Linked DNA regions of Mus musculus: all the other regions are reported to be linked to region 3. Evidence: microRNA targets listed by miRTarBase, many of them from high-throughput screens and not tested one by one. Region 3 holds a microRNA gene; each other region holds the end of a gene's coding sequence.
Evidence for each region. Region 3 holds the annotated microRNA mmu-miR-17-5p (CAAAGUGCUUACAGUGCAGGUAG, at 2,804-2,826, shown strand). A microRNA usually pairs through its seed, bases 2 to 8, with sites in the 3' UTR of a target mRNA and lowers its output. Matches are read on the target gene's strand: a 7mer-m8 pairs with bases 2 to 8, a 7mer-A1 pairs with bases 2 to 7 and ends in A, and an 8mer does both.

Region 1 (5,073 bases), not on the chromosome of region 3:
TTGTGAGATTCAGATATACCGTGGGTAAGTGCCATGTCTGCTGCAAGTATATCCACTAGTAACTATCTTTAGTTCACTTGTACATCATCTTACTAAATCTTCCTGGATCTGAGGCAGTTTATATTATCTTCTCACTTCCAAGTTAAAGATGAAGTTGAGGGCTGAGACTTAGATTATGGCAGGCAAATCCATGCACGGCAGAGGTTGTTCATGGGTCTCCACCCAGTTCTTTCCCTGCCCCTTACTGGTGTGTCTGGCATATAAACCTGTGAACCCTAACTCACAGGTTTTCTCTATTATGCTTCAGGATAACATTCCAGAAACATGTTCCTTGAACAGCATTCTCAGGAAAAGACATGAAGGAGTCCTATGTGTTTTCTTGGCCACTGATCCAAAGGAAAATAGTCCAGGAACAAGACACTCTTTGGTGTTCTCGTAGTTCTTGGCAGCTCATGCTTTTATAAAGCAAACCCAGCAAAATCCCAGGAGGAAACAAAACTTGCTATGTCAAGTTGCAGGATTTCAGGAAGAAAAATGTTTATTCTCCCCTTGACCTAAAATTTCTGTAATTTGGTTTTATTTCTGACACTGTGTGTGTGGTATGTGTGTGTATCCAACTTAAACTAAATAAATGCAGAGGCTCATTGCAGCCAGATACTGTCCTAAGGCTACTCAGAGATGGGCAGTAATTAGAACCAAATCCTGAAGCTGTGGCTGGAATCCTTGCACAGTATGACTGGTGTGGTCCAGGAGTGGCATCCTAATACAGACCATAATGGCTGCCTTGTCTCTGGGGATGAGTCCAGGGATCTGAATTTTCATTTTCTTGTTTTTTTAATTTTTCTTTTTCTTTTCTTTCTTTCTCCTGTATCTAACTGATCTAGGGAGAGAATTGGATAAGCCCATCAAAGTCACTTCACTGCATCGTTTCTAAAAATGGGGTAGTGGCAGCTGGGAGGAAAAGATGTTCTATTAAGTAGTGGCAGGGCTAAAGCCAGGTACTATCCTGCATTGACTTTGACTTAGGGCCTGGGCTTAGAGAGGTAGGGGTCAGGGAATTAACAATGAGTCTGTGGCTTGACAGTCTGGTCAGCTCCTGTGACAAAGGAAATCACCATGGATGGCACTGAGGTAGGACAACTGGCTAAACTCTGGCCTAAATTAAAAAGACTAGTGTCAGACTTGAGAGTGAGCTTTCACTGCACAAAATGTATCCTTATAGTCTTCTAGATCTATGGCACTTCCAACTCCATTCTTTCTGTGGGTTACTAAGAGGCTAGGGGATGGAAGGAGACCCTTCTTCCTGAAGACCTTGAAGGCTGAGAGATGATAGTGTTGATGGTGTTTGTATGCCACCCTCTGCTACATACTTTGTCTCCTTCCTGAATGAAGGCTTCTCCTCAGGCTGCAGGACACAGGATCAGTCCTTGTAGCTGCCCCACGTGGCTCAGGCAGGATTTACTAACCCAAACCTGACTTCTATGTCCATGTTGCTCCATGTACTTTTGATGGAAATGTAAAAAACTCATGCAGTTCTTTTGGAGCCAATTTGGCAAACATTTAACCCTTTCTGTCAAATTCTACATTTACACTGTTAACAAATTTATAAAGAAGTATATACAATGATGTTAGCTTCAATTTCCTAAAAGCAAATGGCTAGATACTATTTAAATACCCGTCACTAGAGGAACCATTAATTATATAGCCAAACAATGGAATATGCAGCCATCAAAAAGAATGACAAAAACATGGCTGGCAAGATGGCTCAGTAAAAGCTTTTGCTGTATAAGCTTGACCACCTGAGTTCAACCCACAGAGCCCTCAGGGGGAACACAAACCAACAAAAAACAGGTTACAGTGTTGCATATTTGTAACCTAGCACTTCTATAAGATGGGTGGTGCAGGAACATGAGAGCCAGCTAGGTTAGGGTGCACAGCGCAGCAAAAAAACAAGACCCACCTAGGCAAAGTGCAGAGAGCCATCTCAAAATTTGTCCTGATCCCCAAATGTGCTGTGGCACACACACATGTTTGCACTCACATATCATACACATAATCAAAAAGACAATGACAAAAACAAAGAAAGAAAGTAAATAAAAAGATGACATAAACTCCAGAGTATTATCTAATCCTGCTCTAAATAAGCAGAGTAAACAATACATGCCCAGGAAAATGCCAGGAAAGGTTTTAACCCTGCCCCAGGTAAGTGCTGGATCTGTGAGTTCCTCCACATCCATGGCTTAGTGAGTAAAAGGTTTTATTGCACAGGCGGGGCCACCCAGAACCCATAATGGAACACCAAGGTTCCTCCTTGACTTGTGGTTGTCTGGAAGCCAGAGAGACTCAGCCTGTAACTAGATCACAGCATGCCTTGTTTTATGGTCTTGGCCTCAAATACATGACCTGTCTTTTCTTCCCTCTTGCTGGACAAGAATAGCATCAGGGTCTGTGATGTCTGGGTGGACTCACTTCCTGCTCTGGGCACATGATACGTGGTTTAAGGATGGCCCACAAGAAGCATCCTCTCTCTCAAAGCCTGCCTAATCAACTCTTTATCAGGACACTTGCAAAACTTAATTTCATTTTTTATTATTCAACATTTTATACATAATAAATACAAACTTTTTACAGCCACTGTAAAGAAAGCGCACCTGCACGGAGGCTCCCTTTGAGCCCTGACCTGTGCATGGTGACGCCGGGTTATTCGGCCTGGAGAGAAGGGTTATTTATTTATTTATTTTTAAAAAGGAGGCATATTTTTACAACTTTGTTTCTTAAAATAAAATTAGCAGCTCTTCCAAAAAATATTTTAAAATATAACAAAAGAGTTCAAATAACTCTGAGGTTGTGGGAAACTCAAATCCAAGGACAATTTGGTTAGCTAAACAGAATACAGGACTGGTAGCAGGAACTGCTCTATTATAAGCACTTTGAAGATCAGCAAATTTGAAAATCTTAAAATACCCTTTTAATTTTTTAAACTTAAGAATAAGTTTGATAAACATAAAAAGACCTCAAATAGATCAACAGATAAATGTAAAAACCAAAAATCCAAATTCATGGAGAAGATTCATCAGAGTATCATTGCTAAAGTGATCAAATGACTGAAAATCCCTTCAGCTCCGATATCAGTCAAAAATCCCACGGGGACATGTGACCATTTCAAGTTTTTAGAGATTCTCAGAAGGGATGGAAATTTCAAAGCATCATACAACCTTTAAATCTGTAAATTTCTTTTCCCAGCCAAGGTAAAAGAGGATTGGCAAGCATTGCTTTGTTCCCTAGGTCAAGATCTACCGTCCACAGAGTGCTTGACCTTCTAGGCTGAGGCCAGGGCGCCATGAGGCTCTTCCCTGACCTGCAGAAGGTGCTAGCCTCCTTGGTCTCACCTGGGCAGGTGTACAGTCCTGTATCCTTTCCACAGAAAGCAGGCTTCCTCCAGGGCCCATAGATTCTTCACTCTGGACAAATGTCAGGGCAGTGGGACCTGAAGCTGTACTTTCAGAAGGCGACAGCTGGTCTGCACCAATCACAACCCAGATGTCTAGGCCAATACTCTGGCTTGGGAATAAAATAATATAAGGGCCTCTCCAGTAGAGAAGCTGAGCAATGTAGGCCTTTGTCCTCAATGCAGCCAGACACTTGGATTCAAAGGATACTGGTCAGAGGGTATACACTGTAAAAACCAAGAGGAAACATACCCAAAGACAAAAGGAACATTAAAGTGGCTCATTTCAGATGTGGAAGCTCCATTTCTGCTTCTTCCTTAGCCTCCCTTCTAGTCTATGTGATGGGAAAGATGTGGCCTCAGCCCCTCCAGGTTAGCCCACTAATACTAAATGAATGGCATAAATATTAATACAAAGGACACTGTTATTTTAAATCTGTTAGTTGAGGAAGAGATGTGCATTATGCAATTGGCGCTAAGCTCAGGCAGTCCACTTTCTTCTCAATAAGGTTGCATTTTCAGTATGGGAATGAACCTGGGGAGGAGCCAGCCTCTCCTGGATTTCCTTACACAGTCAACTTGATTTGAATAACAATCAGAAGAGCAAAATCCACTTGAGGAAAGATGAGATCTTTGCCACAGCCCTGTGCATGGCCACAGTAATATACTGTACGAGTTCACACAATTGGTAATTCTGGGTCTGTGCCCTGGATCTAGGCCTGGCCTTGAGTCTCATATAAAAATGGGCCACTATAAGGCATGAGAGCTGCTCCCCTCTGCTTCTAGGACCCGCTATGATTTGTGCTATGGTAGGAGAGATGACATAAAAAACGACAACAAAAAAGGCACAATCAGGCCAACCAGTCCCATCGAATCCTCCTTGGTTTTGCTCCTTTCAAGAGTCATCATCATGCAAAGGTGCCTAAAAAATGAGACTGGCCAAACTCCAAGCCTGGCCTTGATTGTAGCAGTAACGGAAGGTAAATCCACTGTCACACCAGTGTGATCTCCACGTCCTCCATCTTCTCAGTTGTCCGCCGGTGGTTCTGTGTGGGTGGTGGCGGCGCCGCCCGAACCTGAGCAAGAGACAATTACAGGGTTATCGGCCTCTTGACTCAGAGGCTAGCACGTGGAACGCTCCAATGCTCCTCTGGATGTTCGCTGACACCTGAGGGCCTGGGAATGTGTTCACTGCCCTGAACAGCAGGCCCCATTCTGCATGAAATGCTAGGTCAGACTGCTTGTTATGCTGGAGGTACCAAGGCATGCTAGTTGCTGTAGTCCTAAACACTTCTCCAAAGTAAAGCTGGGAGTGGCAAAGAGAAGGCACAGTATGGGGACTGGAACTGCTCTATCATGTCTCCAAGGTCAGCCATGGGGAACAAGGCTGGAGAGGTGGGGCAGGTAGTGAAGGGCCTTATTAAGTTTTAGTAAGAAACCAGGATAGTCAGGCAGGGTGGCACACACTTGTGATCCCAGCATGCAGGAAGTAGAGGCAGAACTGCAGAAAGATCGAGGCAGCCCTGGGCTACACAGTGAGGTTTTTGTCTCAAAAAACAAACCAAACCAAATAACATGGGACTGGAAATGTAACCCAGTGAGAGTGCTTGCTTAGCAGGCTCAAG
Region 2 (5,073 bases), not on the chromosome of region 3:
GCCCAACTCCAAAAAACTGTGGGTTTTCCCTTATTATTTTAATCTTTATTACTTAATTTCATATATGACTACAGTGTTTTGATCAAATCCACCCCATCTCCCCAACTTCCAACTCTTCCCCACCACCTGTTTCCCTCCCACCTTCAGTGTTCTTGTTTTTCTTGTGTTCTTGCTCTTCTTAGTGTTGTCAATATATGCATAGATGTGACTGGCCTTTGTAAGCCCATACCACATCTAAAATTAATTGACATAACTACTACTGTTATAGAAAAGAGATACCAAATGGGGAGTGCTTCCAAAACGCTAACCCCAAAATTAGTTTTCTGCTTTGGATGCCCATCATTTTACCCTTCAGAACCAGGAAACAAAAAGGTGCAAAGCTCTTATTTGTATATAAAATGACTGATTAGAGCATGTGGCCTGCTCTATTGTCTGAAGATGTTTTAATCTCATCCCACACTTTGAACAAATGCAAATTCTGCTGCTGGTGCAAGACAGTTCCACTGTCTTGAAAGTAATTATTAACATCACACAAAGCCAGTAAACACCAAAGCATTTTCCACACAGTGCTGCATTTTAAAATGGCTAACTTTATTGAAAGATAGGCACAAAGTGGATTTAACCTGCTTAACTTTATTTGATCTAACTCTCTTGATTACAGAATAGGATCACAATCACTACAAGACCATGTACATTAAGCCAAAAGTAATTCTTCTTGAACAATCTGCCAGTCCCATCTAGCCATCTTATTAAACACATGCCATCGATCGCAAAGGAGGCCAGAAGGATTTGAAAACGTCTTGTCACCCACCCTTACCACCAGAAGAAAATGTATTTCCAACCCTTGTCCTACTGTCAATGGGTGGCACATGAGAGAAGAATTTCTGAAGATTGTGGCAGGCAGAAATCAGTGACAATGAACCCACAGTGAATAGTTCCCTTTGAAAATATTTTCTGTAAGAAGGAACATATCTTAAGTAACATAATCCATGTATGAATGAGGATGTAAGATAACAGACTGTATGGCTAACAGACATGAGCATTTATTCAAGTTAGCACATACATCTATACTTTAAGCTGCCACATTATTTAGATTCTTCATTTTAAAAACTAGCTGGGAAATCAGTTTGTTAGACCCACTCAACAGTGCAAAAGTAAAAAGAGAACATCTTGCTATGTTTCCTGCCATGGATGATGGCAGATGTTTCAAGTTTCTACTGCCCCGTCACCCTGCAGCTCAAAAGCAACACTGAAATTAAAACCTTCATTAAGACAACAGTCACAATACATGACTTTCAAAGGAAGTTAAATTACTTCCTCAACAATGTTAATAGTTTTGTATCAAGTATAGTTCCCTCAAATGAAATTTTGCTGGACATGGGACATTGGGGATAACAAAATGAATTATAAGATCCTCATAGACAACTAGACAGTAAAAGTTAAGACAAGAAATATTCCCTCCTCTTCTGGGAAGTCCAGGAAAAGGCCTGAAATGTTACATCCACACAACTGTGAAGGCAAGGTTAATTCGAGATTCATCCCATATACTGAATTTTTTAACTGGTATGTGGTAGAAATTTTTCTCAAATGGTGGAGTCTATACAGACTATACCAATATAGTCTTCTTCCATGTCTTAGACACACAATGTCCTTCTAGCAAATTTCCTGGGACAGAAAACTGAAGAGAAGGAGTGCCTCTTATGTGACAGGGCACAAAGGTTCTGGAAAGTTCATACTTCAGCAAGGACTTCCTTTTCTCCCCAAACACATGACTCTAAAGCGATGGTTGCCACAGTGAGGAATTCATTTCATCTATCACTTTAGAGTATGTGATTATAATAATGGCTCCCAGAGTCAGCCCAAATTCTATCAATGAGTTTTCATCATGAGAGGACATGAAGTTTCTTTGATTTTCATTCATTTGCTTGGACAGAAAGTAGCTCTCCTGGTGTTTGCTGCCTGATTCTTCTACTGTCTGAAGGGGTTTATTTCCTTGCACTTTTAATTGTCTATTTGTCATTCACTCTGTAACTGAGGACCAATACATTGGATGATCACTTTGCTATTAAAAATGTGAAAAAGATACTAGTTAAAAGTTGTTGAATTGCCTTCCCTCATCTACAGACAGACAGACAGACAGACAGACAGACAGACACACACACACAAACACACACATAAATCTTTTGGAAGGTAATTAGGAACTACACAAGAATACAGGTAAATATAGCACTCTTATACTCACAGAGGAATACATAAAATGACCCAAGACACCCGATTTTATAGTGAAAAACAGATGGGTTGACTTTTCTTTATGGGTGCATTTCATGTAGCTCAATGATTAAATGGGATGAGGAAAAAATCCAGTCTCACACAAGGCACTCCAGCAGAGACAAGATAAGAATTCAGACACCTAATCAATCTATTCACACCAAGAATATTTTCATAACATAGGTACGCCCTAGACTATGAAGATGTCCTTTCTTTAAAACAGAGTCTTCTTTTTTATAATCATTTGCCAAATGGGTATGTAGTTGGCAGAACAGAGAGATGTGCTGTGTGATCTTGAAAAAGTCAGTGAACTTTTCCAACTCTCAGATTCCTCATCACTAAACTTAATGCTACATTGCTAAGTAAAGTTCCTCCCCATCACTATAGCCCATGGCATAATACAGGATACACTTGCATCAATCTGATTTCTAACTTAACACATCTCTAAACGTCTATCTCCCTTACCTAATACCCTCCCACCCTTAACTTCCCTAGACCCCTGAAAACTCATCTTAATGGTACTATCTGTAGTTCTATTGCCTCAATGAAGGGCAGAGACAAAGGACAAGGACCTGTGACAACTGACACCTTCTGTGTCCTTGGAGGCAGCTCTGTGGCAAGGCCCCATGTTGGTCCCGCCCATATATACATTCCTAGCTGCTTCCCAAAGGGATTCCAAGATGGAGTCACTGGTAATGAGAAGAGGTAGTTGAGGAGATTGCTGCAATCAACCTTGATCATGACTGCAGCCTGGTACTTTGGATTTCTTATGTGATTTCCTTGGAGGTGACAGTTGCATATGCCTTTGAAGGCACATGCTAAAGATTTGGGAAAAAAAAAGAGAAATATTTCCAAGTATTTGCCAGAAATTCAACACATTCAACCTGTCAACAACGATGTTTCCTTATCTTGCAAACTACTGGTAAACAAATATTGGCAAAGCAGCCAGCGAATCTGCATTATGGGTGGGGAAAGGCTATGCCAGTCACCAGGACTAATTTAAGGTGACTGAGCCATGGTCATGACTATACCCAGATCACAAAAGTCTGCATGCAGCATCTCATGCAGCCTTTTATCAAGGCCTCTAACATCTAATCCCCTATGAGAGAGGCAGTCATGGATCACTGTTCATTTACCTTCCTACCATCTGAAAGCAATATATTAATTATCCAAATGCATAAATTATTCCACAGTATATATATGAATGTATCAACCTCCAGGAGGAAACCAAAAGAATCCACTTCCAAAGCACCATTGAAATGGAGAGAAATACCATCAATGAGGGGGCAGGATAACTGGCAACTGGGAGAAAAAATTGGTTCCAGCACCCTTCTTCACCCCAATCCTCTCTAACTTTTCTTTAGCTTCCATAGCTCCTAAAACACTTTCTTTCCTCAAGCCCAAAGTCAGAGCTTTCTGTGGCTGTTGTCTAGGTAGAGACCCGACAAAGTAGCAAGTCCTCAAACTCTCCCTGAATTTCCACTTCGGAACTCCATGTTACAACCTGCCTTCTACACATACTGTATTCTTCAATGAAAAATGACCTCAAATAGGGAAATTTAAAACAACTTGAAGCGTATTCAAAACATCAATGGACATCACTACTGGTTAATAGTCCATGAGTTGTACAAAGCCCAACAGTAAGCTTTAGAGCACATTCTGCTTAACCTATCTTTTTGAGGTACTCCCTAAGTATTCCAAAATAGATTGGAATTCGTTTCTATGGTATTACTTATGTACTACCAGAGTCCAATAAAAAGTCCCTTTAGAAAAATCATCCCCACCTCCCCACCCTATCTTCACCCCAGATTAAACAAATGAAAGGGAAAAATTATTAAAAAGAACTCTTGCTGATAACGCCAGCTCTTGATTGTGCTGTTTAGATGAGATATTCCACCATCTCTGCATCAGGCTCTTGCCCCAGGATCTGAATGGGTGTCTTTCTTTCCAGAGTGCTGGAGTGGAAAGCAGGGGCATCTAAATGGAAAGGAGGGGTTAGAAACGACTTAGGCACAAAGTAAAAAGTACCTTTCAAAAATCAATGTTGCGAACCATAACAGAACTCATTTTTAAAACGTGACTTGCAACTACAGACATGCCCATCATTTACTTTACTGAAAAATGGCCTCTGCTCTTGACCACTCCCTTTTTAGTGAATGACAGAAGGCAGATTTAGAACCTCTTCTTTTCTCTCCTCTGACCAATTGGATCATGCAATATTTAACTATGTCAAAAGGTCAGGCATCAACTAATAGATGCACACCTGAGAACAAAACCAGAAGATACCTGCTCCGGAAAATTGTGATTACCTGGCTTATCTGGGTTGCACATCAGATTTGGTGTAGACAAGCGGCGTGGTCCGGAACTGGCACCTGGATTTGCAGGACCCTCAGTTTGAACCAAAGCTGGAGTTGGAGTTGGAACTGGACTAGGAGGTTCAGTCGGAGCTGGAGTTGATGCCTGAGTCGGAGTCGGAGCAGAAGCCTGAGCCGTTGCTGGAGCCGGAATCGAAGCTGGAGATGGAACCGGAGCCGAAGTAGCTGGAGCAACCTGAATAGCAGTAGTGGCAGCAGCAGCAGCAGCAGTGATAGCAGCAGTAGTAGCTGCAGCAACAGCAGCAGTAGCAGTGGCAGCAGTTGGAGAAACAGTAGCAGGAGTAAGAGATGCAGCAGCTGGAATCTGAACAGCAGCAGCTGGAGAGACAGGAGCAGCTGGAGGCACTACAGCAGCTGGAGCGACAGGAGCAGCTGGAGAGATAGAATTAGCTGCAGAGACAGAAGTAGCTGCAGAGACAGAAGTAGCTGG
Region 3 (5,073 bases):
CGGGGAGGTCGGAAGTACTTTGTTTTTTATGCTAATGAGGGAGTGGGGCTTGTCCGTATTTACGTTGAGGCGGGAGCCGCCGCCCTTCATTCACCCACATGGTCCTTCGAGGTGCCGCCGCCGCCGCCCCGGCCCGCGCCTTCGCGCCACTTCGCGCCCTGCGGCGAGGCCGAGGGGTGGGGACGGTCCCCCACGCCGCCCGTGCCTCTCCACGGAGCCCCGAGCTCGGACCGGGCCGGGCGGGCCACGCCGCACCCCCGGCCTGGGGCCTCGGGCCGGAGTGGCGCGGAGGCTGGCGAAGATGGTGGCGGCTGCTGCGGTGAGTGCGCCCGCCCCGCCGCCGGCTCAGGGAAACCTGTTGTGCGCTAAGCGGAGCGGCGGCGGCGGCGGGACGGGCGGGAGGGCGGGGGCCGCGGGCCGGGTGGGTCTCGGGCCGTTGGGCGCCGGCGTGGGGCGGCCGTCCTGGCGCGCACGCGGGCCGGAGGGGGCCCGAGGGGGCGGCGGCCCGGGCCCCGGAGAGGCCCGCCCGGCGCACACAATGGCCCTCGGGAGGCTTCGCACGAGGCCGGCGGCCGTCCCGGGAGCGGCGGGAGCCGGGCGGGGCGCGCGGCCGCCGTGCGGGGAAAGTTTCTCCCGGGGGCGAGAGTTAAAGCGCCTCCAGAACAAAGCGGCGGCGGCACATGGGGCAGGCCGCGGGCCGGGAGGGGGCGCGCCCACGAGGAACCTGCGCGCGGGCGGCGTGGGCGGGCGGCACTCGGCGTCCCCGAAACTTTGTGCGCGCCGGGCCGGGCTCCGGGACGCGGGAGCTGCGGGGCGACGGGGCCGGGGCGCCACCCCGCGCTCCGCGTGGGCTTTGTGTGCGGCCGCGTGGGCAGCTCCCCTCGCGGGCGAGGCGACCCCTGCGGTCCGCCCGGGCGGCCCGGGACGCCCCGGCCCGCCCTCGGGGCGGCGCGGAGCCCCGGACGGGCGCTGGCTGCGAGCGCGGCGCGGGAGGGCCGGGCGGGTTCGGCAGGAGCGGCGGCCCCGCCGCCATGTTCCTGCGGGGCGGGCTGCGCGCGCCGAGGGCGGGGGGGGGGGGGACATGGCGGCGACTGCGCGCCGCCGCCGATTGTTCCCGGCTTAGGCCTCGGGCCGCGTGCGGCGAGCGCCCTGTCCGCCCCCCTCCCTCCCCCGGAGCCTGGCCGGGGGGCGCGCGGGACACAAAGGACGGCCGGCGTGTCCGGAGCCTCGCCACGCTCGGGCCTCCGCGCCGCCGCTCGCCGCGCAGCCGCCCAGAAACGGGCGGGGGTTGGGGGGGGGGGGGAGTCTCCGCGTCCGGCGCAGCGCGGCCCGGCTCTGACCTGCCGCCCCCTGGCGGCCGCGCGGGGAACCCACAAGGGCCGCCTGCCCCCTTGTGCGACATGTGCTGCCGGCCCGGGCTCCATGAGCGTGGCGGGTACTTGGCAGGATCCCGTGTTCCCGTCCGGTTTTCTCTTGATAAGCTGGCGCGGAGGGGAGAAAACTGGAGAGCGCAGCAGGGCTCGTGGTTCTTAGGTGACCAGAGGGAAGAAAATGAGCAACGTGCCACGAGGATCACAGCAGTTGGGGAAACAACTCTTTATCCCGGCGTGCAGCCACGAGGTCCTGATTGGGGGAGGGGTGGTGAAGACTAGTCCTGGTTGCCCTTTTTCTCTAGCTTGAGCTGGACAGTAGAGTTCAGGCTTGCTGCTACTCATCTTGCAGTATTTCAGGGGCACATTAATTCGTGCACGGATGTGAATCTTGGTGGGTTTTCAACTTTATTTTGTTACAGCGTTTTCCACCCAATACATTGTTGCCCTCAGGACCTTGTGGTCCTGGCTCTCTCTTTTTTTTTTTTTTTTTTTTTTTTTTTGGCAAATGGATAGAATTGCCCCTTAGGAAGATTAAGAGAAGAGCAACTTGGAATGGGGCTCGGAAAGTGGTAGTAATTTTGAGCAAATGTGCTTACCCTTTCTCTGTCTTCACCCCACCCCCAACCCTAGTCATACACGTGGACCTAGCAGCACCCGAAGCATTGCCCAAGGATACTTGCTGAGAAGGAAGTTTGCCTGAGTGGGTGAGTATATTCTAGTTTTGTAGCTAAAACTTCTTTTGAGACCTTTGGTTTTCACTTTTGTCTTTGAGCTTGTACAACATTCTTGGTCTTTTAAGGTATGAAATAAATACAGTTTGAACTCTTGTCATAAATGAGTGAGCCACATTTTAACGTAGTAAATCTACAGTGGCTTTTGGACACTAACCAAATAGTTGTAGACCCTTCAAGTTGGAGTCATAGAGTATTTCTAATTTGGGGTGATACTAAGACTTTTTTATGTTTTATGACTAATAAACTTGAAAATGACTAAACAATAATCATTAATCTTGTCGAGTATCTGACAATGTGGAGGACAGAAGAAAGGGATTGCTGCCTGGTCAATGTGAGGCTTTCCTCTAAAGGTAGTACCAAGTCAGACTGCCTTCCTGATAACAGGTCTCATTTTGTAGGACCCTTATTGTGTGTTTTTTGGGGAAGCCTACTGTAAAAGCCAACATTTTAATGGGATTGTATCTTATATTTCTTTAAGGAGTTTTTTTTTTTTTTTTAAGGCTTACATGTGTCCAATTTGGAACTTCTGGCTATTGGCTCCTCCCCTCCCCCCCTTGGGTATAAGCTGTAATTGATGTTTGTGACAGAATTTAGAGCTTTGGCTTTTTCCTTTTTGTCTAATTATTTATTTCAAATTTAGCAGGAATAAAGTGAACCTCACCTTGGGACTGAAGCTGTGACCAGTCAGAATAATGTCAAAGTGCTTACAGTGCAGGTAGTGATGTGTGCATCTACTGCAGTGAGGGCACTTGTAGCATTATGCTGACAGCTGCCTCGGTGGGAGCCACAGTGGGCGCTGCCTCGGGCGGCACTGGCTGCGTCCAGTCGTCGGTCAGTCGGTCGCGGGGAGGGCCTGCTGGTGCTGCGTGCTTTTTGTTCTAAGGTGCATCTAGTGCAGATAGTGAAGTAGACTAGCATCTACTGCCCTAAGTGCTCCTTCTGGCATAAGAAGTTATGTCCTCATCCAATCCAAGTCAAGCAAGCATGTAGGGGTCTCTCCATAGTTGTGTTTGCAGCCCTCTGTTAGTTTTGCATAGTTGCACTACAAGAAGAATGTAGTTGTGCAAATCTATGCAAAACTGATGGTGGCCTGCTATTTACTTCAAGTGTTGTTTTTTTTTAAACTAATTTTGTATTTTTATTGTGTCGATGTAGAGCCTGCGTGGTGTGTGTGATGTGACAGCTTCTGTAGCACTAAAGTGCTTATAGTGCAGGTAGTGTGTAGCCATCTACTGCATTACGAGCACTTAAAGTACTGCCAGCTGTAGAACTCCAGCCTCGCCTGGCCATCGCCCAGCCAACTGTCCTGTTATTGAGCACTGGTCTATGGTTAGTTTTGCAGGTTTGCATCCAGCTGTATAATATTCTGCTGTGCAAATCCATGCAAAACTGACTGTGGTGGTGAAAAGTCTGTAGAGAAGTAAGGGAAAATCAAACCCCTTTCTACACAGGTTGGGATTTGTCGCAATGCTGTGTTTCTCTGTATGGTATTGCACTTGTCCCGGCCTGTTGAGTTTGGTGGGGATTGTGACCAGAAGATGTGAAAATGACAATATTGCTGAAGATGCCGATTTCCACTGTAAAAATGTTCACGAGCTGATGGAGTGTATGAACACATTCTGTAAACTGTGATTTCTATTGCTTTCGTTGGTGTGTAAAACGGGATTTTTTTAATTGAAATTTGTGTTTTTAAATTGTGGTTTGTTTTTACTGAATCATTTCATTTTCGTGTTTGCTCGCTGGATTTAGTAAGAAGTTGTGTGTGGGGGCTTAGGTGAAGTTAAACTGCCTTTTGAACCTGGTATGACTTCAGGTTTATTTTACTCTAAAACCCATTAACATGAGTTAAGAAAAATGTTACTTTCTTTGGATCTCTGTTTATTAAAGTGTGACAATTCAGATGGAGTGTTTTCTGATAAGATTATTCCTAATCCGTGAGTTCTTAACAGTTAACAGGTGGTGGCCACTCTGTTAATGTGCACACCCTGTAAGAAAGAACTATCCTTGGACTGTTCTTACCATGTGACCCCCTCAAGGGAAAGATGGCAAACTGATGGTCAGTAGAGTGACAGGTACACATGACACTCGAGTGCTGGGTCTGGAGAAGCTGCAGTTAGTATTTAGGATAACAGTATATATAATATATAGTTCTACATTTGGGCAGCACAGTTGGTTTCAGGCTATGAATAAAAATCATTGGAGTGAAACCTAAAGAAAAGTAAAATTAATAAGGAAGAGCTGCTAAAATCAGGTTTAAGCTGACACTATCTACAGAGCTAAAGTTTTCCATAATATGTTGCTTTTTTTAAAAGAAATGCAAGAAGCTGACTGATGGATCCCTGAGCTGCCAGGTAAGGATTCCACAGGCCTGGGTTTGATTGTGAGTGACCAGAATTGTACAATTATTACTAAAACAGAAACATAGTCACTTCTGACTCCATTCTTAACATTTTTGGATTAAAACTTGTTTCAGATGACTAATGAAAACTTCCTTTAAAACGTGATAAAGCTCTAATGTCAGCACGATCCACATGATCCATGTGCCTCCTATAAAGGGAGGGGTCTGTCACCAGTGTTACGGATTGAATGCTACGTTTATCTTCCAACATAGGAAGCCTGCCAGGTACTTTCTTCAATATACTAAATTAGAAGTTTAAAATTAATAAGGTCTTAATTAGGACCTTTGGATGCTGAGCTTGTGGTAGTAATTGTGTTCAGAATGTTTTGAACTTAAATTGAGATTTAATTTTAGTAAGGAATGTGTGTCTTAGAGGCCTAGTAGTGAAGAGGAGTTTTCCTAGGATTTTCCTCTCTCCTCCCTTAATTAAGCTGCTTTCTGCACTAAGGGCTTCACGCAGCAACGCACTTGTTCAGTTCCGCACAGGGGGCTTTGCTGACTGTCTGCTCTAAAACTCTGTTGGCAAAACAGCTGTGGTCTCTCTTAGACTTTGATTTTGTAGTAACTA
Region 4 (5,073 bases), not on the chromosome of region 3:
TGAGCTGAAACATCCGTGGACTCCCTCCTGGTTGGCTCAAGGATGAGGGGTGGACACAGCCTGGGAGCCCAGCTTGCCCCATCAAACAGCCCTGCGGAGGGAGGATATCACGAAGTGTCTCATCTGAATGTGGAACCTTGGCTTATGGATCTGGAGTGGGCCTTCCCATGTCAGCGGAGTTCGTGTCCAGTGAATTGCATTGGACAGACTTCTTTAATCAAAAAAAAAAAAAAAAAAAAAAAAAAAAAAACAGGTTTCGTCTCCTGGGTTTGTTTTTGTTTAAGACGGGTCTCAGGCTGGGATATTCAGTGTAAAGCACTTGCCACCCAAATGTGAGGATAAAGCCCATGTAAAGCCAGATGTACCCACCATATGATGGGAAGAAGAGACAGAATCAGCAAAATAAAACCTGCCTCCAAAAGCCTGGAAGGTAAAGGTGGACAGACAAAGGTCCTCTGGACTGTGCCGTGGAACAATCAAGCATCCTTCCCAAACCTTCCCCGACGGGATCTCATGCAGTCACTCTGGCTCACTGTGTGGCCAAGATGATCTTGGAATTCCTAAACATCTTGTCTCCCAAGTGTTGGGATTTATAAATATGCACTGGCTCAGTTGGCTTTGTTTTTCTACTTCTGAGACACTCGTGTTACTGTAGCTTAAGGCCAGACCCTCCATCCTCCTGCCTTTGCCTCTCTTAGGGTTGATGACAGGCTTCTGGGTTCTTAAGATAGTTCCTGTTCTGTGTGCGTAGCCACCAAGTGGGTGGGTGGGTGGGGGGGGGGGGAGAAGAGGCTGTGGATAGTCTTATAACTAGAAGCTATTAAAATGAAGTCTCCAACCATAAACAGGGAACATGCAAACGTTGCTTGTTACATAATGCATTGGGCACTACTCGGTTACAAAATCTCAATCTACACAACTCCTTCTGAAAGTACTTATTAGTATTCTGGTAGTTTCCCCTTTTACAGAGAATTGGGTCTCAGGGGCAGGTGAGGATTAAAAGCACCATTTAATCCTGACACACGAAAGGCTTGAAACTAGAGACCATCCCCTTTCCAGCAGGGCTTCCACACAGGTGCTTCTCCACTGAAATGCTAATGGAACCAAAATCAAGCAACTACAAGCAAATGCAGAGGGTAATGAGAGTCCCTGGATGTCCCAAACACAGACCCCAGCCACTAGCCACCTCCCCTCAGCATATCCCTGCTCTGGGAAGTCCCAACAGGCAAGGCCAGGGCACCGCCCAACTCCCAACTGTTAAAGCAGAATCAGGCCTTCAACTGGAAACCATCACTTCTCCTTTCTGTCCAGGAGGCCTCGATGGCATATTATTGACTAGAGGCCCCAACAAGCAGGAGGCCAGGTGAAATTTCAGGTTCTCTGGTCTTTCTGGCTAAACCTTTGTCAATTTTTGCCAAAGGTGACTCTTGACTAACAGCTGGGTGGAGGAAGGGTGGACATCCTGAGAACAGGAGCTACTGTGAGCCCAGGGGCTCTCAATCTGAGGGTAATCAGAGCAAGCTAGACACTGAATAGCCTGAGTGGGCATTCCCAGCTATGGGACTATCAGTCTCAGAAAGAATACTTCCCAATGCCAAAAATGCCAGAAGCCAAAATGAAAACCCCGCAGGATGGTCAGCAGGACAGGGCAGTCAGCCACAGGCACAGACTTGCAAAGAGGTGCAGGAGACCCACATTGAGGATTTCTGAGCAAGCTGGGTACTTCCTTCCCTCTCTCAATCTTCTAGTTTTCAAGACAAGGGTCTCTGTGTAGCCCAGGCTGTCCAAGAACTCGATCTAATAGACCAGGCTGGCCAGGAACTCTAGAGATCTGCCTCCCTCTGCTGGACTTGAAGCCACCACATCACGCTTGTCTGGCAATTTTCTCTGAACGGAAACAGTCCTTCCCAGGAGGGGAGGTTCATGAGACTCAGGTGGTGAACAAAAGCTCACATTTAGGAAAGCAAAAACTGAAGATTCTCAAGGTTATCTCCCCAGCTTTTATACAAGGCTCGACTGTGCAACTGCTTACATGTTCTGCAGAGAGCCTCAGGTTACAGCATGGGCTGGGGAAAAGAGAGGCTGCTCTGTGATGCAGCTGTGAGTGACCCCTTGTTAGTGACCCAGTAAAAATTCACCCATCTCGTGTGTGTTCATCCCCAGGAAAAGACTATCACTTCGAAATCAGACATGAGGCAAACTGAACTCAACCTCTCAGGACAAATTAGGCTGAGAAGCCATCAGCTTGAAACCCCAACCCCACTCTACTCCTCCACCCTTCTTCTCCATCTGAGCAGCTGCAGAGGCAGGCTGGAGCAGAGGCAGAGGCAGAGGCAGGCTAGAGCAGGGCTTGCCTGAGCAGGTTTGAGAAGTGAGAGCAGTACAAATTCAGATTCCAAAGTTCTGTATTTTTTTCAAAATAAAGATCACACATTGTTTAGAGACAATCTACACAAGAGTTACAAAAAATAGTTGCCCAGGCATAAGCATACACAGGTTTGTTAATTATACACATATGGTTACAAGTGTGCTTGCAAAAAGTTCATTGGAAATATACACAAGGCTCTGGAAATGTACACCGTGTAGTGTTACAGTCTATATTCAAACGAGGGTTGACAGTATGTTACATTCACTTACAAGTAGACAAAATGCAAAATACAGCTCATCTGTACAAAACGGAGGGCGAGTCACTTTACAAGGGGTGGCGCTGAGCAGGGAGGGGGCAGGCGAAACTTCTGCACATCCTTTTTGACTGTCACAAAATAAGCGAAACATTACCTTTTTTAGGATTAAAAAAAAAGGGGGGGGGGGGACACTAGTGTGAACTGAAGCATCTGAAGTAACATTTAGAAAGGCTCTCACTACCGTCTTGACTAGCTGACAAATAAACCAAGCTATTTTTTTTTCCTTTTTAAACATTAACTAGGCTGTATAAAGAACATTTATTCCTTCAAAAGAAAAAAATTTACTTCTGGTTGAAATTACAATTTACAATATACAACACTATCTGCTACGACCATAAAAGGTGGGATATACAGAGTGCACGGGCTGGCTGATTCTCTTCTTACCAAAAACGTGTTCGTGTTGATCAAACTCCTCCACATTTACATTACAGGTATACAAATGTACAATTGTACAATCAAAAGTATGTCCGACTACTAGGGTACATTATAGATACAGATTAGACATCAAAACAGGAAAATACTACAAATCCGTATATATGCAAAGTCTACACAAGTATACACTATGTATCTATAGAAGCCAGACCAGGGCCGAGCTGGGTATTCTCTCATGCTAAACAGTCAGATCCTGCTTCCCAGTGTTCACACAGGCAACCACAGGCAGCAAGTGGCCATGCCCACTGGCCTTGGGCCTCTGGGGTCCCCGCTCCTCCTGGATCTGCAGCTACCACCTCCCTCAGCACGAGGTCATCTCCAAAAAAAGAGCGTCATAAACTCCATATCACAGGCTGATGCTCTAGCAACTCTGAAACGTTCCCATTTCATATATGTATATATGTATATATATATATATTTTATAAACAGTGTTAAATGCCAGTTTGAGATCATTTAACTAAAATTCAAATTTCTCAGGTTTTTTTTTTTTAATAATAAAATGAGGAGGTGGGGAAGAGCTATTTGCAAAACTTGCCACAAGGCAAATGAGTTAAAAACCTTTTTTTGTCTTTTTTTTTAACTTTTTTTGTTAAACCAACCACCCTGAAAGTGTCCACATGTGGAATATAGATACAACATTGAACAAAGCATGTGGCCTCCCATGTACACTGATTACCTATGTACAAGTTCCTATACACCAGTAAACAGCAGGGCAATTAGTCAATTAAAAAAAATAATTAGTACATGTTATGTGTAATAAAATGAAATTTACAAAGGCCTTTCCACAAGTGGATCTGATTCTGTTTTTTGGAGGAGGGAGCAATCCCGGAGCAACCGTTGCCCACTTCCGACGCTGAGCTGGGCACCTCTGGTTGCTGGTTGGATCTGCCAGGGTCAGTGAGGTCAGCGGGACAGGGACGTGGGTGCACTGTTCAGATGATACCATTAGGGGGACCACAAATGGGCCCCAAGTCCACGCCATTCTTCATGTAGTACTTCTCGAGCTTGGCCAGGATGTGCTTGCCATAGGTGTACTTTCGAAGCGTCGCAATGTGTGGCCGGATCTGGAGAGGACAGTGTGGGTATTACTCTTGGCTGGAGAGGCACCTCCAGACCCTTCCCAGACAGACCCAGACACAGAATATACAGTGTACATATATAGTGCTTCATCCCGAAAGGTACTCCTGTCCTCTTATTGCTAGCAAGCCACGAGGTAAAGACGGGAGCTCTTGCCCTAAGCACTGACAAAGGACAGAGAACCATGACAGAATAGCCTATGCCAGCCAGCTGCACGTAGAAAACCAGGTTGTCCTGACAGTTGGGGCTTCCTTTGGGGAACCAGATGTCTGAACTCACCACCAGATCCCTGCCTCGCCAGGGCACAGGATTTCTTCCAGTTAACAGTGACCAATTGCACTGGCTAGTTTTTACATCAACTTTACAAGTTAGACTCATTATGGTAGAGGAAACCTCAATTGAGAAAATGCCCCCACCTAATTGGGCTGTGTGTGGACAAGCCTGTGACGCATTTTCTTGTTTGATGATTGATGTGAGTGGTACCACCATGTGCGGGTGGTTCTGGGTGCTCTAAGAAAGCAGGCTGAGCAAACTACTGGGACCAAGCCAAGAAGCAGCAGTCCCCGTGACTTCTGAATCAGCCAGTGCCAGAGCTTCCTGCCCTGCCTGCCTTGGATGATGGAAAAACTGTAAGATGAAACAAATCCCTTCCTGCTCAGCTGCTTTTGGTGTTGTTCACAACAGCAACAGAAACCCTAAGACATAACTTGGTACCAGGTCAGTAGTGCTGGGAGTGCTAAGGAGGATTGTGGTAGCACCTGAAGTTTGGGCTGGAAAAGCCACCGTATGCTCAGAGCTTAGTGGGCTTCTGTGGGAGCTTTAAGATAATGTTGCTAGCAGTACAGACAAAAAAGCACTATTTGTTAAGCGTCTGAGGGAA
Region 5 (5,073 bases), not on the chromosome of region 3:
TCTCTGTATAGTTATCTAAATAACATTTACAATATGACCTTAATAAATGTATCTAAGAAGCAAAAAAACAAGCAAACAAACACCCCCAAATCCCAGTTATAGTTTTTATTTAGCTTCTGACAGTACACTAGGGGTTACTAAAAAATGTGTGTGTTTAGGATGTACACGAAGAATGTACTGACTTGGGAATGGAGACAGGGCTTGGGGTTAAGAATGCTCACTGTTGAGAGAACTCAAATTTGTTCCCTCACACCCATGCCAGGCAGCTCACCATCTCCTGAAACCCCTGCCCTAGAAGATCCCGTACCTCTAACCTCAAGGTAACCCAAACTTATGTGCACATACCTATATAAAGACACATATAAGTACATGTAATTTTAAATAGTAAAAACAAATCTTACAAAGAATAAGTTGACATGTTTTCCACGCGCCTCCCCCCACCCCCATGTTGATTTAGGAAGGCAAGCAAACCCTTAAAAGAAAAATAACTTATGTCAAGTTATGGGCCTTGAGTAAACAAAATAATAGGTAGCTGCACATTCGAAGCAACCCAACGTGGGAGTATTATAAATTACAGGAGTCCAAATAGGCCATCTGAGTGAGTGAAATCACCTCTTGGTAAGTAAAACACCTCTTTAAAAAAACATACATTGTGTGTGTGTGAGTGAAAGAGAGAAGCGGGGGGAAGGTCAGAGAACAAATCATGGCAGTTGCTTCTCTCCTGCTATGTGGTGGCCTAGGGATTGAAATCTGGTCTTTAGGCTTGGTGGTGTTATTACCTCTGGAGGCATCGGACACCCCCCCCCGCCCCCCCGCAAAGTCCACTTATCTAGAAGCACTCACTAATCATATGCAACAGTTATCATGCAAGCATTTTTTTTTTAAGAACAAGAAAAGAAAAACAAAAATTTTGGTGTTTTTAAAGTATTGGCTCAGAGTTTGTTTGTTTTTTTTTTTTAAGGTGGAGATAAAACCTAACACTTTTGTAAGGAACTCATTCCTGGTAACCCATTTACTCAGCAGTAAAATGATCAGAGTTGGAAACTTAAATCTTTCCCTGCATGTTGCTCACTTGCCCTTCAGTGGCGGTCTGAAATCTGTTGCCCCTCCAAAAAACTCTCTTGTGGCTCAGTGGCTTTCATATTGAGAAGCTCACATACTAAGCATTCAAAAGAATATTCTGATTATTCCTCCAAAAGATGATCTGTCAGACACATTTCACTCTTATCTGAGGTGGCCAAGTCTGTCGAAGTAACTCCCTGGTCCGACCATGACCCTACCAGCTCACGGTCTCCTCCGATTGCAAGGCCACCAAATCATTGCTCCTCAATCAAGGTCAGTTTTGTTCCATCCTGTTTCCAGAAAGAATATTAAACCTTAGCAATCAGGTCCAAGTTTGGATACATACACATCGATTCTTTCATAATTAAAAATACAAGATAATAGTTTGCTGATCAATAAACAAAGTATTTATTCAGCACCCATGTGCCAAGCACAGTGCTAGGCACTGTGGTGGATACAAAAATTAAGACATAGTCCCTGCCCTTAAGGAGCTTACATTCTCATGAGGGGAACAAAACTAACATACATGTAGCAGCTAAGAACAGTACAAGACAATATATGATTTGGTATAGGAATTTTAGCACAGATTTGAAGCTTCATAAGGATTTAAAGAAGACAGTGAAATAGGCCTTAGTTTTAAGAGTTTAGTGTCAAGGTCTTGAAGAAACTTAAATCGACGTTCCTGCAAGGGAGAAGTAGGAGCAAGGTTCAGAGAAAAGACACAAAATATGCATTTGATAAGGGCTAAGACGTGATTGCAGACTTCGGAACAGAGCGGCTGAACGAGACAAGCAAGGTTCAAGAACTTGAATCAAACTCAAAACAGTAAGTAGTTTAGTCATCCCGAGAGGATGGAAGGGCAGGATCTTAGCTAACACAGATAGAACTCACCCGAGAAAGGAAATTATAGCCACAAAATAAACAGTGGCCGAAGGCATGACAATTCTAGGAAGCATGTTATGCCAACATGCCAATAGCTCCAATGTTTCCTAATTCCTCCCAGAGGACTCTAGAGACAGTGTTATGGTTCCATTTCAAGATCCAGGATGTGGACGCTTTGCCTCACGCAAGTACAAAAGAAATATAAAAGACAGGAGGACACAGAGGGACAGAAAAAGAAGTGGAAGAAACAAGTAAAAATTCATAGTGAAAAAAACACACCAAAGTATATAAAATCTATCTCCTATGGAGATGCAATTGGCATGTCCATTCATTTTTAAATGAACATATACTGTATTCCTGTAACAACGAAACAAAATGCCCTATGCTTTAGGTGTGCTTTTCGGATATTTCTGATACAATCAATCCAGGAAATGGCTCAAACTGTATTCATGTAAGTTTAAGCGGTCACAGAATCCCATAATGCAATCTCACTTTTCTGCTGACTCATATCGCAAAAAGGAAGTGTGTTTTGGAAGAATTGGAATTGAGAGGTTGGCTGGGGAAGTGAGGACTTTCCCTTGTGTCCCAGTGAGCACAGGGATCTTGCCAAACAACACAGGGCCAGGGACCTGCCAAACTACTAAGAGGCCAAGTGACTGAAATCAGCACTGCCAGGAGACAGTGTGTCACACAGCATGGTGTTCTACCACTAGGAATTCACACCCTAACAATAATCCAAAATATATTTTCTGTTTTCAGTCACTAATATGTATAGGTATTCACTGTTTAAAATGAAAATAGCTGGTGGAGAGATTTTAGAATTAAAGATCGGTCACAATAACTCCATGAACTAGCTAAATCTAAAATTAACTTAGGGAAAATAAATAAAACCTTAAAGAAACCCATTTCTGGCTTAAAAGCAAGCAATAATAATAAAAATAAATTCCTAAAAGTTACTGACAAGGCCTTCTTGAACAAAAACAATTATCAAACTTAAGAATCCCATAAGGATCATACAATCTAAGATTGTCATTAAACGTTAAAAATTTTTAAACAAGACAAAAGCAGTCCCATTGGCCCACGTCCCATAGAGTTACAATGGTCTTCAGTGATTTACTAGTACCGTACTCATTCCATTCCTTATCGAGTTCCACTTAGTCATTAAAATACTTTCTACCTCAAATGTATCTGAAACTTTCCACCTAGAATGTTTACTAGAGCTTACTTAAGCCTATGCTAACCTCTGAGAAAATCTCATCTGAAAAGCAACTCAGCCTAAACAGGATGACCCAGCCTGGGAAGTCCTGTGCCTCTTTGACATTTATGAAAACTGTCTGAGGCCATCTTTCTGAGCTCTGATAAAGCAGCATGAATGGAAAACTGTTGAGTCAGACAAGATGTGCCATCTTTGATAAGTACTCTGAACCATCAGTGTGGCTGCTTCCAAAGACCCTGATTTCTGCCCGACTGGGAAGGTGAACCAGGCCCTTGGCCCTGGAAGGGTCTTGAGCTTTTCTTGAAATGAATGACAAGAGGAACACATGCCCAATGCTGCCCATTCTTATTCCTGTGCTTTGACAACGGGTGGCCATTACTAATCTGGGTATTTCTTAGTAGAGGAACTCCAACTCAAAGAGATATCACAGTTGCTTTTGGTTTATAGCTGGCTTCTCTACAGTCAGATTCCTTGGCTACAAGAAATTACCCTCCCTTCTCCCTCCTCCTGTGGTCTAAACTTGAAGCTTCATGGTATTCAGATGGAGAACTATCTGAATGGCAGAAACCAATCTTCCCTCTCCAGAGGCTAAGACTCTGAACTAGAATTAGTCAGATGTACATAGCAGCTGTGTATTTCCAATCTTGAAATGAAATCCAGTTGAAAGCCGTGGAGACATGAGGGCAGGCACGGAAACTGCTGTGTTCAAACATACGCAGGAGAGCTAGAACACACTACCATGATTTAAAAGATCACACGAAAGCTTAAATACAGTGTGAGAGAGATGGAATTCAGTTTTATTTTGTCCTCTCCGTAACTTCCATTTACACCACGGCCTTGTCTATCAAAGAGGAGGAGGAGCACCCGCCTGTGCCACTGAGCTCAAGTACCCATGGACTTGCTCACGGCACAGGCAGGGTGCCTGGGTCTCCAGTTTTTGGCTCCAAGAGGTTATACTTTTAGTACCAGCATAGTGAGGAACCCCTGGCAAACTCCTGGAAATGTCTTCTATGTTAGTCAGTGTACCATCCCGTAAAGTGCTTCTGGAGTTAAAAATCTGTCAAGCTGTCAAAACTGTCCACGCTTTTGCAACAAGGGATAAAAGACCCCCATGGACATGTCACTGAGTCTTTCTCAGATGGGTCTCGTAATTGGCACCGCTGCTTTACCCACCAAGGCGCTGGCCCTCACCCCAGGCGAAGCCTCCCGGCCGCTCTTCAGGTAGTGGGTTGTAATTGGGATCCTCATCTGGCGTATCAAAAATAGTCCTCCTAAAACACACAGAGACCATTCAGTGCCAGAGCCCCCTTAGATTGGACGTACGATAAAGCAGCACCCATAGGGCTTCCACAAACAGGTAAGTATTGTCCCTGCCTGCCAACTACAGAGGTACTATACCTTAAAGGCGCTATACTTATTTAACACTTGCATTAATATTTACCTTATTAATAATTGTTACTATGGAAGCAATAAATGCTGATGGAGTACCTGGATAGTCAAATTCACAGGCACATAAAAAGAAAGGTGGTTGCTGGATGACAGAAATAGGGAATTACATCATGGGCAGAGTTTTAGGATTATAAGATAAAACCTTCTAAGGAAACGGCCATAGCAGCACAACACAAACTCACGAACCACCACTGAATTGTTCACTTTACAACGGCTACGACGGTGACTTCCATGTTGGAGCGTGTGGACTCAGTTACAAGGACATCCAACACTCCAAGTAGAGAAGGAGAAGCAGTAACTGAGGCCGATGTCTATTAGCAAGGGAGGCGTATACTTATGTTATGTCATAGGAACCCCGGACTAGCATGCAGCCACCAAAATCCCGTAGGCCATTTATAAAGGAAAAGTAATTTCTTTTTTCTTTTCTTCTTTTTCAAGATGGTTTCCTCTGTGTAGCCCTGGCT
Region 6 (5,073 bases), not on the chromosome of region 3:
TGACTAGCAAGCCTCTGTATATATGCCAGGATCGGCTGGAAATATATGCTTACTGAACTTTTCCATGTAGGACAAAGTCGCCTAATGTCTTAGTAGACAGGGTACCCCTCACCACATCCTCTTCTTAGGTCATTGCCTATCAATCACAAAAGCTTCCAGCAAGATGACAAATGGGTGAAGGGGAGAGGCAGAGAGAAGACAGAAACAGGAGCTGAGAAGCAGGAGCCTTCCTCCACTGGCCCGGCACAAAAAGACTTTCCCCATGGCTGTTAACTGTCACCCTTCTACACATGGAGAGGTCAGCACCTATGGAGGGCACACAACATAGGAAGGAACTTGGCATCCCGCATTATCGAGACAAAACAATGTATTTAACTTCCTCAATGTTTATTTTGATTTAGCCCACTGCCTTTGGGGCCTGTCCAGAACCACTCCAATTTCCTTTACAGGCAAGCATCATACCGACCGTGGACCGTGGAGTGACTGGACCACATGCACACGCACACGCATCCCCTGCTTAGGATGTCGGTGTATGTACGAAGGCACTAAAGCGGTTTTAGAGAATGCAGGCAACAACCCCACCCATTCACTTTACCTGTGGAGCTGGAGTTTCTTTCCCACTGGGAAGCTTAAAGTTTGAAAGAAGCTGTGGCCAAGACCTCTGGCCCCAGGAGGGAATACAAAAGCAGAATTCAACATCACCCAAATCAAAAGGAAACACTCCACATCTCTGCCTCCCAGGATGGGGGGAGTAAGCAGCAGATCTTCAAAACAGCATTTAAAACAAGCAAACAGTAGCTGGGAGCTAAATAAAAAATGAAAAGTAAAACCACTTGTTCCTTATTAGACTCTTCTGTTTCCTCCTCCTGTAACAGATGGGAGGCGAAACACACACTTTTCACCAACAGAACAGTCCATAGGTAATTTTCCTTTAGTAATGCTCATATTTAAAATTCGTTTAAAAAATTATTAACCTATATTTCCTAACTCTTTACAGAGATTCTCAGCAATCCAGCAACCGCACTGCCACAGTTTAGAGCCGATCCTTTTGCTTAAGCTACTGTTTCTTTCTTTATTCCTTGCTTTTGTTGATGGGGCTGGAGAGCCAGGGAGAAGAAGGGCTGCACTGGAGAACAGAAACATGACGGGGAGACGTCAGTCCAGCCTCATACAGAAGGAACAATGTGGTGTCACTCCTACGAGCTCAACAGTCACCCCCCCAGTAAGCCATGCACAATGTCAAGCAAGGCGGTGACAACACTCAGAATGGCTGAGCCTTCTCCCACAGTTGTTAAGATAATGAATTTACCTGTTGCTGCTAAATTGGTAATTTTTAAAAAATATTTCTATGTATTTTAAAATGTGTGATCCCCTGTATGATAATAACGTTTGGAGACTTTTCTTTTTACATTTTTATAAGTAAAAATCGTTTAAACTTTTTGAAGTTTCAGGAACTTGTAAAAGTTTACTAACAGGAAAGAAACAGCTGTCTATCTAGGATAAGATACAATTAAATAAACCATCTTCAAAAAACTGGCTTCCTACCCTAGAATTCCTGAGAATGCTTGCAAATTTTAAAGCAGGAAAATAATGTTAAAAATAAAAAACAAAAACACTGTTAAATGCTCCCAGAGTTAGTCTTCATCTAAAATATATATTTATATGTATGTGTGTATGTGCATATATATATGTACATACATATATATATATATATGTATATATATATACACACACATATATATATATATACACACACACACACACACACACACGCACTTTTTGGTCTTTTTTTTTTTTTTAAGTTTTTAGTTTTTTTCCCTTTAAGCTTATGATGGAAGAACATTTTAGCTTCTCATGCTTATTTTTACATATTTCAAATCCCTCATTTATGTCTTGTAAACAAGAGGGGCTCTAGCACCCGGCTTTCACCGTAGTATCGTAAGGAACTCAACTAAGCCATAGTGCAGGTCAAGGACCCAACAGGCAGAAAGAGGAGCAGGGGCAGAGGAGAGGATAGGCAGGGCCATGAACCAAGAGCGGCAGTGGACAGTCCCCACAGGCTCCCAGGAGTCTGGGGACACTAAAGTTCAGCCTTCAGTCTGCAGATGTCTGAATATAAGCGGCGCTTCACCTGGACGTCATCACCTGCGACAGAGCTCTGCTCCAACACTGAGAGTCAGTGGGGCTGGAAGGAGACATTTTGCAGGGCAGAGGTGAGAGGGGGTGGTGGTGATGGAAACCAGAGAGCAGGAGGAAGGCAGAGTCCATGAGAACAAGGTGTTGCAGGAACAAACCAGAACTGCACGCTCATTTGCCTACCCACCTGCCAAGGGCGCCCAGATTGTTAAGCACAGGTGCTCATGGGAATGGTGCCCCGTCAGCCTCCTCTGAAGCTAGGTTTATACCCAACAAGGTAAGCCAAGACGACTACAGAATTTCCCACTCACTGTCTTACAAAGCCACTTACATGCAATTTTGGGTTTTTTGTTTGTCTGTTTGCTTTTTCCTATCCATACCCCTCTACCCACCTACACCAAAGACACAAGCTGAAAGTTAAATACATTAGGCATTGTTGTATCCTTCACTGAAGATGCTAAAGAAAGAAAAACTCCCTTGTCCTCAATAGCAGCAAGTCACAGAGGACAGCAGAGGTCTGCTCCCGTCAGGGGTTGGAATGGGCAGGTAATTGCTGGTACAGAATGTCGGCACTTCATGTTGAACAGACAGTACGATGCAGACTGGGATATCACACAAGTGCTAGCATGTTCCCCGCACACATCACGCCCGCCCGCCCGCCCGCCCGCCCGCCCGCCCGCCATCTATTTAGCACGTGAGGATCCCCTTCGGGTTTACTTTCACTCTCTTCACAATAAGAAATTTGATATATTTTGATTCCAACATAGTACATACGTATTGGTGATAACTGTGGATTAAACATTGCCTCCTGTTCGGCCCAGAGAACTACTACATTGATGTTTTTTTAAAAAAGTCTTTAAATACCAAAATAAAAAAACCAACATTACAAGGAAAGAAAAAAAAAAAAAAGAGGTCAAAACCAAAACAAGGTGCAATACTTTGCTAAGTTATTTCTGCCTAAGCAAAACCACATACACAGGAAACAACACAGAGAAACAAAGGGAGACACTTGAAGTACACACTGGTTTAAGAACATTCGTTAAGTAAACGTTTCTGTCAGTGATGGCCTGGTGCTGTAACACGCCACGGCCTGGCACAGGTAATGCTCAGCGAGAGAGAGAGAGAGGGGAGCAGAGAGGGAGGCGCTGCGATGCTTCCAGGAGGCTGCTCATAACTTACTGTCTTCCTCACATGATAATGAGAACTGATAGAAGTAATTGAATTTGCATTACCTGAATCCTTTCAAAAAATTCTCACACCCGACGAGCACAGCAAAGTGGGAACTGTTTTTCAGCTTTTAAAACATCACACGATTTAAAAATTATTGAATCGTCTGTTCTCACTCAAAGTAGCCAACTGGCCAGCTCAGTCCTTAGACTCCTGCTGCCGGGCAGGCAGCTGCTTACTTCACAGCACAGAGGTGAGCAGCAGCTTCTTGGAGGGAGGGGCCTTCTGTCACACCTCTGGCCTTGGCAGTGCTCTGCTCTGCAGCTGGGTCGACAGAAGCTGGGGACCTCCCCGCCCCCCCCCCCCCCCCCCCCCCCCCGCATTCTGGCTGCTGCTCTGTCACTGAAAAGCACCCTTCATCTCGAGGCAGCCAGAAGAAGTGGCTTGAGTTGCAGCGGCTCCCTGTGCTCCTGTGTTCTCATAGTCAGAAATAATGAAAAGCGGATGGCCGGCCAGCCAGCCTTTGGAACTGTCAGCAATGCAGCTTTCTGAGAAATCAGGGTGGGGGTGGGGCGGGGCGAGGCAGGACGAGGAGGGCAGGACGCAGGCACACGAAGAGAGACAGAGAGGAGGATGCACGCAAATGCACATGAACACACGTGCACACACATACCAGAACGAGCATGCCTGGGCAGTTACATGTGCCAGAACACACTGGTATTTATCAACCAGCCAATCACAAAATTTTACCTTTTTTTTTTTTTTAAGTTTTTTTGTTTTTGTTTTTAAAGTGAGGCTCCGTCAAGTCTTCCCTCCCCCCTCCCCCAACAATTCTTTTGAATTTCCCTCCCACCCAAACATGGTAGACCTAAGGACGGAAACACACCCAGTGCAAACAAAGTTAAAAAGCTATTTTTTCAGTATATATGTTTCTTAGCAACAACTTCCATATAACATGAAAAAAGTGAAAAACTAGAAACTAATTTTTTTAATTTTTTTGTGTTTAAATTTAAATGGTATGTGTACTTGCTTCACATTGTCTTTCTAGGTTGGCGTTCATGATTCAAGTATTTCAAGAGTGATATGTTCTCTTTTTGGATTCATATTCCAAACGAAAAAACTGAAGTTTTAAGGGAGGCAACTATGTGCTCAGACAGTCTGTCAATGACCCACCTTTTTTCTCTCTCCGTTTTCTTTTTTCCTTTTAAAAATGTATTTATTGCAAGTTGAAAAAAAAAACGAAAAGGTCAAGTTAGTGCTGCTGCTGTTCCAAAAAAGGTCACGAGGTCAGAGTTGAAAGTTTAAGTTCAGATTGAATCCGACCCTCCTCCCAGAAGGTCACCAGGTAGTAAAGGAGCAGGGCTGCCCATCCTATGGGGATCTTCCACCGTCGGGACTCCCCACAAGCTAGAAGAATAGTTTGGGGGGCCCCACAAGGAAGTGCCGGCAAGATCGGCCCCACTGCTGCCACCAGCGCTGCTGCTCCACTGCCCGAGCCCGGTGGACCCACCGAAAAGGTTCAGCGCAGGTCCAACGGGGTCTGCTTGGTTCTGGCTGGTCTCCAGGGACTGCCACCCTGTGGCAGGTGCACTCGGGGTGGCTGCAGGCGTAGGGGGCTGAGCTTGAGCCAGAAAGCGGCTGACTTCATCCTCAGTGGCAAACTCGGCCAGGATGGTAGTGTTTCCCAACACACACCTACAGAAAGGAGAAGAGTCACGTGATCCGAGGGATCGCCAGCAAGGGGGTGGGGGTGGGGTGGTGTACAGCTGT

Region 1: miRTarBase lists Fchsd2 as a target of mmu-miR-17-5p. Seed matches in the 3' UTR shown: 7mer-A1 at 3,721-3,727 and 7mer-A1 at 3,089-3,095.
Region 2: miRTarBase lists Amot as a target of mmu-miR-17-5p. The part of its 3' UTR that is shown has no 7-base or 8-base seed match.
Region 4: miRTarBase lists Pum1 as a target of mmu-miR-17-5p. The part of its 3' UTR that is shown has no 7-base or 8-base seed match.
Region 5: miRTarBase lists Derl2 as a target of mmu-miR-17-5p. Seed matches in the 3' UTR shown: 8mer at 4,194-4,201.
Region 6: miRTarBase lists Tnrc6b as a target of mmu-miR-17-5p. Seed matches in the 3' UTR shown: 7mer-A1 at 4,090-4,096.

Annotation. Positions count from the first base shown.
Region 1 is chr7:101,281,901-101,286,973 of GRCm38, reverse strand. It overlaps Fchsd2 (FCH and double SH3 domains 2), which reads right to left. Exons shown (of 20, transcript NM_001146010.1): 20 at 2,569-4,524. The coding sequence ends at 4,441. It also overlaps a transcript of Atg16l2 not described here. Among named protein-coding and RNA genes, the nearest start is that of Atg16l2, 18 kb to the left of the region's middle.
Region 2 is chrX:145,445,854-145,450,926 of GRCm38, forward strand. It overlaps Amot (angiomotin), which reads right to left. Exons shown (of 11, transcript NM_153319.3): 10 at 4,578-5,073; 11 at 571-4,245. The coding sequence ends at 4,148. Among named protein-coding and RNA genes, the nearest start is that of Amot, 39 kb to the right of the region's middle.
Region 3 is chr14:115,040,881-115,045,953 of GRCm38, forward strand. Mir17 (microRNA 17) reads left to right here and starts at 2,791; the gene lies at 2,791-2,874. It overlaps Mir18 (microRNA 18), which reads left to right and starts at 2,971; the gene lies at 2,971-3,066. Mir19a (microRNA 19a) reads left to right here and starts at 3,120; the gene lies at 3,120-3,201. It overlaps Mir20a (microRNA 20a), which reads left to right and starts at 3,277; the gene lies at 3,277-3,383. It also overlaps Mir19b-1, Mir17hg and Mir92-1.
Region 4 is chr4:130,778,879-130,783,951 of GRCm38, reverse strand. Pum1 (pumilio RNA-binding family member 1) reads right to left here. Exons shown (of 22, transcript NM_030722.3): 22 at 2,388-4,180. The coding sequence ends at 4,049. Gm12972 (a long non-coding RNA gene) reads right to left here and starts at 243. Exons shown (of 4, transcript XR_001784548.2): 1 at 1-243.
Region 5 is chr11:71,005,996-71,011,068 of GRCm38, forward strand. It overlaps Derl2 (Der1-like domain family, member 2), which reads right to left. Exons shown (of 7, transcript NM_033562.4): 7 at 1,445-4,431. The coding sequence ends at 4,326. Among named protein-coding and RNA genes, the nearest start is that of Dhx33, 4.1 kb to the left of the region's middle.
Region 6 is chr15:80,929,014-80,934,086 of GRCm38, reverse strand. Tnrc6b (trinucleotide repeat containing 6b) reads right to left here. Exons shown (of 25, transcript NM_144812.3): 25 at 1-4,998. The coding sequence ends at 4,611. Among named protein-coding and RNA genes, the nearest start is that of Mir5113, 8.5 kb to the left of the region's middle.